Cricetulus griseus: one gene and its partner. The protein of the gene in region 2 purifies or fractionates together with the protein of the main gene of each other region. This does not show direct contact. Links are inferred from orthologs where the notes say so. Each region holds a gene or a part of one and is shown on either strand. Other genes may lie near its edges.

The links.
Region 1: the proteins of Zc3h8 (region 2) and Larp7 purify together in Homo sapiens (affinity purification with mass spectrometry; 4 studies listed by BioGRID and IntAct, counting the BioPlex papers as one, with this or other methods). This does not show direct contact. The link is inferred for Cricetulus griseus from reciprocal best matches to the Homo sapiens genes ZC3H8 and LARP7.

What each region holds. Positions count from the first base shown.
Region 1 is NW_023276806.1:31,273,890-31,277,389, reverse strand, and holds part of Larp7 (la-related protein 7), read right to left. Parts: intron 753-3,500; 5' UTR 752-752; coding exon 565-751; intron 392-564; coding exon 291-391; intron 213-290; coding exon 129-212; intron 29-128; coding exon 1-28. UniProt on the Homo sapiens protein: RNA-binding protein that specifically binds distinct small nuclear RNA (snRNAs) and regulates their processing and function.
Region 2 is NC_048599.1:49,598,687-49,603,040, forward strand, and holds the start of Zc3h8 (zinc finger CCCH domain-containing protein 8), read left to right. Parts: upstream 1-1,397; 5' UTR 1,398-1,514; coding exon 1,515-1,591; intron 1,592-1,856; exon of another isoform or gene 1,857-2,002; coding exon of another isoform or gene 2,003-2,049; intron 2,050-4,354.

The DNA.
Region 1 (3,500 bases), on a different chromosome or scaffold from region 2:
TGTGAGTAACATTCTTGGGAAGTAGCTCCTGTAAAAACCATAAGTGGCATGAACACAGTTTTTAAGCATTTAAATAACTACATTTTATCAATAAATGGAAACTAGAATTAAGTTTGTGTTTTTCTTACCACATACACGGTGCGTTCCTCCTCATCCTTTGGTCTCTCTCCCAAGGGCTTTTTTCTCCGGATTCTGGTCCCTTCTAAGTCCAACTTTTAAAAAAGATAATTGAGTTTTTAAAGTAACAGTTTTGTGTGATAATTTGATTAACTTGTAGTGAAAAAAATTACCTCTACTACAGATGAGCTTTTCAATGCTCTGGCTATTAGCTTCCCATCTGTGGTCAATTTCTTCATTTTGTTGAAAGACACCAGAAGAGAGATGTCCACATCTAGTTGCAAAATGTGGTAGATACTGTTAGCTTTAAAAATTGTGTGTGTGTGTGTTGCTGAGCTTATGATTTTAAGAATCATAATAAAAACAGGCACTGGCCCCATAAACTTGGATGCTTTGGTATTATTGCCTGATAAGGCCTGAGAGTTACTTTAGAGGGAGCAAACTTACATCCATCTCTAGATTTTTCGATTTGCTCTCGAAGAAACCTGTCCTTGTGAAGGTTTGCATCCCCGAACCAGAAGTCCACTTGCTTGGCAATGTCTGCAAGCACCTGTTTAACCCTGGAGCGTTTTTTTTTTTCTTCTTTTCTCTTCTCAGTGCTTTCCTGCATAGTTTTTTGATTTTCAGTTTCCATTCTGTAAAGTAATATAGGAGTTAATATCACCTATTTTTCTGGACAAGAGGGCCTGAGGCCTTAGTTAAGTGTGTGTTTTGCAAGATGCTTCACATGCATTGAGGCACCTGTCTCCTTCCTGAGCCTACTTCCAGCCTTAAAGCAAAAACCAATGTCGGGTGTGTGTGGCTTGGTGGTCCTCTCAGCAGACCATGGTTCAATTCCCAGCACCCACCTGTCTTAAGTTCCAAGGGATTTGATACCTTCGTGGAGGCTAGCAAGTTCATAAGTTGATTCAGGCAGGCCAGCCTGAATACACTCAGCATCCACGTGCAATGGACCTCTTTAAAAGATCCCACCCACTTACGGGGTAAGGGAGGGCAGATAGGACTTTTCCTGTCTCCCTTTTCTCTTCCAGTCCTCTCGGTCTCTTTCCCTTTCTGTTTCTCTTTACATTATTTCCTTACCTCTTTTCTGTTTCCTTCCCCTCCCCCTCTGCTTTCTAATAAAGCTTACTTAAGCTCTGTCTGCCTGGCATGTTTGTCCCCTGCCTCAGTCACCCTCTCCTGCTATGGTTCCCCATGCTTTATCATAACAAAGCTCTTCATGCATCTCACCTAAATCTTAATAAAATATGCATTTTACCAGTCAACTTTTGGCATTTTCAAAGTATAAGCTGGCCAGCCAAGTACCAGTTTTGAAAGCATACAAGTAATAAGGCATCTGCTTGAATGCTGAAGACACAGAATGCAGCTAGCTGCACATCAAAACTAATAACTGGTAAAACAGTGAGGTAAATAATATATAAGCAGAGGCCTCAGATTTCACACCTGCCATTCTAGTGGAACTTTACTATTAGAGCTAATGTCTGCCCAACCCCAGTGCTTCCCTGACATCCCAGTAGCTCTTACATTCAGAAATGCTTTCCTTGTAAATAGTTTCTTCATACGGTTTTAAGAGTTTCCCTTTTCTGATTCCTTCTACTGTGTTTTACCCTCATATAGTGTCTATGACTAGACTCATATCTTGGCCTCTGTTGTTGACTCATTCTTTCTGGGGGTCCTGGCTAATGAGTATTGGGCTATACACCTCACAAAACACAGTTATTAGTTCCCCATTCCAATAGTCAATTGTTCAAACTCCATTTGTTCATTTAGAAGAGTTAACATAATAAAAGAATACTAAAATTTTACCAGATTTTTACCACTTTGACAAATACCAACTACAAAACAAAAAGACCAGAAAGTATTCTCAATTCTTCCTACTGTACACTATCAGTTGTACTAGCACTGCCTTTAAAATACAGCCTGAACATTAACACTTCTCATTCTAAATAAACCACTTGGTCCAAGTTATTATTATGTTTCATTTGAACTATCCAAGATCTTCCTTAATAGTCTAATTGCTTCTATTACTGCTTTCTCTCTCTTTTTTTTAAAAGATTTATTTATTTATTATATATACAGTGTTCTGCCTGTATATATGACTGCACATCAGGAGAGGGCACCAGATCTCATTACAGATGGTTGTGAGCCACCATGTGGTTGCTGGAAATTGAACTCTGGAAGAGCAAGTAGTACTTTTAACCGCTGAGCCATCTCTCAAGTCACCCTACTACTGCTTTCTTATAATCAATTTTTGTACAGGATAATTACTTAAATATGTAAATCAGAACAATTCTTTGTACAAACATTCCCAAAGACTTAGCACATTCAGCACAGAGCCCAAAGACCTTACAGTGGTTTACTAGATCCTATTTAATCTGACCTGGACATACTTCTCCAATGGTTCCTTCTACAACTTTTCAGCAGGCTTATAACATGTTATCCCTAAGTTCCTAAAATATGTTAAAGCCATTTCCATCTCCAGACCTTTGTTCTTTCTGTTGTTGTTGTTTTGTTTTTTTTTTTCAATACACCTATATAGTATAATATTCACCCAGGTCTATGAATGCCACTGTTTCAGAGGCTTTTTTTTTTTTTTTTCATCCAACCTAAAATAGTCCCCTTGATGACAAGCTGTACTATATTTCCAACATTTCTTTCTATGCTCATCACCCTCTGGAATCAACAGCTTTCTTATCTATCTACTCCACTATAATCTAACTATATAGAGGCAGAAGCTTCAACTTGGTTACTACATATTTGTGAAGTAGTTAGATTTATTTAAAAGTACCTGGAGATAGGCATGGTGGTATACACCTAAATCCCAGCCAACATTCATGAGGTACTGGCAAGTGTACCTCTAAATTTGAAGTCAGCCTGGTCTATATAATGAAAATAAGGTATTAAGCATTTCAAATCCTTTTCTAAGGTGGTAAAAATATAGAATACAATGATCACATAGCAGACTCTACTGTTAAGTGTTAATTATAAAGGTCAGACTTCAAACTCTACAGTTCTTTCCCATTAAAGCCCACCATCTAAAGCAGTGATTCTTAACCTGTGGATCAAGACCCCTTCTGGGTCACATATCAGATACTTACATTACAATTCATAAGAGTAGCAAAATTACAGTTAAGAAGTAGCAACAGAATAATTTTATGGTTGGGGGTCACTACAACATGAACTGTATGGAAGGTTCACATCGTTAGGAAGGTTGAGAACCACTAGTGGAATTTATAGCCACACTACTTTATAGCCACCAGTTCTAAAGCAAAGCAGACAGAACAGTAAAAACACAAGAATGTCACAGCTACCAGTCCACTCTCTTAGCCCAGAGGCCCTCCTTTGTGTTTCTCTTAAGATTCCAGTTCAGAGTGATCAAATAC
Region 2 (4,354 bases):
CACTCGCTCTGGAGACCAGGCTGGCCTCAAACTCAGAGATCCGACTGCCTCTGCCTTCCGAGTGCTGGGATTAAAGGTGTGCGCCACCAACGCCCGGCCTGGCATTTCATTTCTTAAAAATCACATTTATTTTATTTATGGCAAGTGTGGTGGTCAGATGACAACTTTTTGGGAGTTGGTTTTCTTTCAGTCTTGTGGGTTCCAGAGATCAAACACAGGCCATCAGGCATGCTTGGCAGCAAGTGCCTTTATCCATTGAGCCTTCTTACCAGCCCAAATTCTGGAATATTTTGTGTGTGTGTGTGTGTGTGTGTGTGTGTGTGTGTGTGTGAAAATGATTGTATGAGCTAGTATTTTCCTCTAAAGAGGGATATTATTAGTTTTTACCTCCTTAATTTTCTCTCATAATTTTTAATAACCATTGACATACAAAAAAGGTGACTGTCCATATTACTGGGGAGGTAGAATTGTCCTCTGGAAGAGGTCGGACCTAAAATCATTCTCTTCATTTGTGGAGTGGACCATGGTTCATGCTAGGAATCAAATAATCCCTTCAGTTACAGCAGAGTCAGGTTTTTCTGTCGTGGCCCAGAACATAGTTTGAATTTTTCTTTCTATTTACATCCATTAAGCGACTCTCTGTTTTCCAAACACAGTCTATTTTCCTGTCTTTACAGTTCTCCTTGGAACATACATTTAACTCCAATTTCATCCCTTCCTCTGGAAATTATCTCAAGGCTGAGTTCACCCCTTCCGAGCTTTCCCAACCAGCTTGTGGTTCCCCTCTTCCGAATAGCCATTACACTTAGTACTTTCTAATGAACTTGCCTGCTTTAAATATATTTGTGTTTACTCTTCTATTGTAGAGGCCGGCTAAGTTTCTTTGTGTGTATTTAATTTTGTTTATTCACTTGTCAAATGTGTGTTTGAAAAGTACGAGAAACGGTGTGATTGCAGTCAGTGGGTTTCCACAAAATTGAAAGAAAACTGTAAAAAGGGCTGGAGAGATAGATGGCCACGCAGTTAAAGAGAACTTAACTGCTCTTGAGGAGGACCTGCACTTACGTGAATTCCCAGCACTCAAGTCAGGTGAGTCACAATAACTCCACAATCACTGGCCTCCGCGATCACTGACCTCTGCGGGCACCTACACTCATGTACACACACGCAAACACACTCGTACACCTAAAAACAATAATCTTCTTAAAAAAGAATTTATATATATGTATATATAAATGCTACTAGATTGCTGTACTAATAGGTATGCAAACCCGCAAGGCCGGCAGAGAAAGAAGCCGCGCATGCGCAACGCAGGCACTGAAGGCGCCCTAGTGAGGGCCGTGCGTGCGTCGTACGGGCGCGAGCCGGTGCCCGGGGATTGCGCGGAGTCGCGCCCAAGTGGCGCGTGCGTGGGGCGGAGCCTGCGGCCCTTGGCGCGACTCTAGGTTCTCCTTCGGCTCTGGTGGTTGCTCAGTAGCTGCTCGGCGTGGAGGGAGACGGTCCCCGTCTGAGTTATGGATTTTGAAAATCTTTTCTCAAAACCCCCCAATCCGGCCCTCGGTAAAAAACGTGTCGCCGACTCTGAGAAAAGGTGATCCACATGTTTTCGTCCTTTGCAGGGCACCGCCCGGGCTCCGCCCCCTCGCTCCTTCGGGAAGCCGCGAGCCTGGGCTAGCGCGTGGGCGGAGGCCGGAGCGGAGCGGTCGCGAGGGGAAGTGGGATGGAAGTCGGAGGGGGACCGGGGCGAGGACAGTGGCCGGGCAGCGGGAGGAGGCTCCGGCCTCTGCGAATCTGCCCCCAGGGGCCGGCTGCTCCCCTTGCACGTGCGCTTAACCTGTTTCCTGTCACTGTCTCAGCTCAGAGGCGGCTTTGCCCGGACTCCTGGTTCTTGAGAGTTTGAAGGATACAGAAACACTGCCCTGCCAGTGATCCCGAACCAAAAATCCCAGAATAAAGCAGCAAGCACCATTTCGGCTTAGTATTTCCGTTAAATTGGAAAAGCATGTTGTTAATGTCGTACCTAGCGCAGAGTGCAGACTTTCTGTACAGGTACCCATTCACTTTTCAGTCTTTCGAGTTGAAAGCGCGTCCCCACACTCCATCTTCTCTCCTAAACCCTTGTCTTGTATGTTCCTATCTTGCCTCAGTGGAAACTTGACACACATCCTTCACGAGTTTTTTTCCCCATCCTCAATACAGATACATTTCCAGTGCTGGGTCGGCCACACCTTCAATCCCAGCACTTGAGGGGCCAAGGCAGGCAGACCTTTGAATCTGAGACCAGTCTGGTCTACATAGCCAGTTGCAAGCCAGCCTGGGCTGCTACATAGTGAAACCCTATCTCAAGGGGAAAGGGAGTATGTGTTCACTTCTCTGTCTCTACCTTAGTGGGAACTATTACTCTAATTGGGCTACATCAAGGGCTTTACTGTGTGCTTCATGTGAAATATAGCCCCCACAGATGAGAATATTGAAGCATAGAGAGCCTAAGTCACCTGCTGAGATTGTATAGTGGGGGTGGCAGATCTAAGATTAAGGTGCTCCAGTAGTGTGACTTCAGTACGTAGGATTTCATCACCCAGCTTCTAAAGCACAATTAATCAGGAAAATTAGGTCCTATAGACACACTGTAAAGAAATGGACAGATTGCTTGCAGGTGATAACATTTAAGAACAACAGAAATGAATTGATAATTTTAACTTGTATGAGAACTGAGCAAGTTTTTAAAAATAGCTAATAGTTTGAGAATATATTAGGCAAAATACTTGTTTACTAGAATTTGGCTGAAATATGTAAAAGACACTTGGATTTGCCAAAAGATAGTTGAAGTATGGCATGGAAGTAAGGTATCTATTCATGTGCTGCTTTTTACTTTGGCTTTAGGTCTTTTTCAAGATTTTAGGTTTCTGTATTTTTCTCTCAGTTTATCTTTTGATTTTTGCCTGCAGTTTTTTCAGTGTATTGAAACACTTTGTTTTAATTTATTTTATATGTATGATTTCTTTTGCCTGCATCTATGTCTCTGCACCACATGTGTGCCTTGCCCTTGGAGGCCAGAAGAGAGCATTGGCTCCCATGAAACAGGTGTTAACCATGTTTGTTAACCATCATGTAGGTCCTCTGGAAGAGCAGCCAGCGCTCTTAACAACTAAGCCATTTCTCCGACCTGATAAGAGTGTGTGTGTACGATCTTGCAAGTGAGTCAGTCTTTAAGTTTCTGGCTTTTTGCTCATTATGGGAATACTCATTCATTTAAAGCAATTTTTAATGAGTTCCTGCTACATAAAACACATCATTCTAGGTCATGGTGATAGAACCATAAATGGAATGTAGAAAAGTACTAATGCTCATGAATTGTAATTGTGGTGGATGACAGATACATGGTATTAAAGATAATGGAAACCACAGGGCAAATGGAAACTGAGTGAGGAGTTAAGAAGTACTTGTGGAATAATGAGGATAGTGTAGATAGTATTCAAAGAAGACAGTTAAGGAAAAGCCTTAACGAAAGTCACCTGTTTGGTTGTTAAGGGCAGGAAGTTGGAGACTAGGATGTTGGAATCAGCTATATACAGATGATACTAGAAGCCAGGAGACTGAAAGACGTCACCAAGAATGAAAGTAGAGAAAGAAAGATGAGGACTGGCTTTGTTAAGAGTTGCAAAGATGAGGAGCCAAGTGAGGAGATAAAGAAGTAGCAACTGGGCATGGTGTCACACCTATAATCCCAGTCATAGGGAGGCAGAAGCAGATAGATTGGGGCCAGCCTGGTCTACATAGTGACACTGGTAGTTTGAATGTAGTTTGTCCCCATCAGCTCATAGGGAGTGATACTATCAGGAGATGTGGCTTTGTTGGAGTATATGTGGCCTTGTTGGAGGTCGTGTGTCACTGTGGGGGTAGGCTTTGAGGTCTCCTTTGCTCAAGCTACACCCAGTAACAGTTCACTTTCTGTTGCCTGTGGATCAGGGTGTAGAACTCTCAGCTCCTTCAACACCATGTCTGCCTGCATGCTTCCATATCCTGCCATGATGATAATGGACTAAACTTCTGAACCTGTAAGCCACCCCAATTAAATGTTTCCTTTCATAAGAATTGCTGTGATCCTGGTGTCTCTTCACAGCAATAGAAACCCTAACTAAGATCCCATTTTTTAAAAAAAGTAGCAGCAGCAATAGGGGAAAAGACAGGGACAGCTCAGTTCCACTGGAGCTGGCTTACTAGCTTATGGGTGAGTCAAGAAATAGGACTGAGAATCATGGCCCTTAATGGAACAGTGAAGCGGAGAGGGCAGGGTAGAATGACAGGGTGTGATTCAAGACACGGTTCTCCATTTCTGATGTTTTCTGTCCTT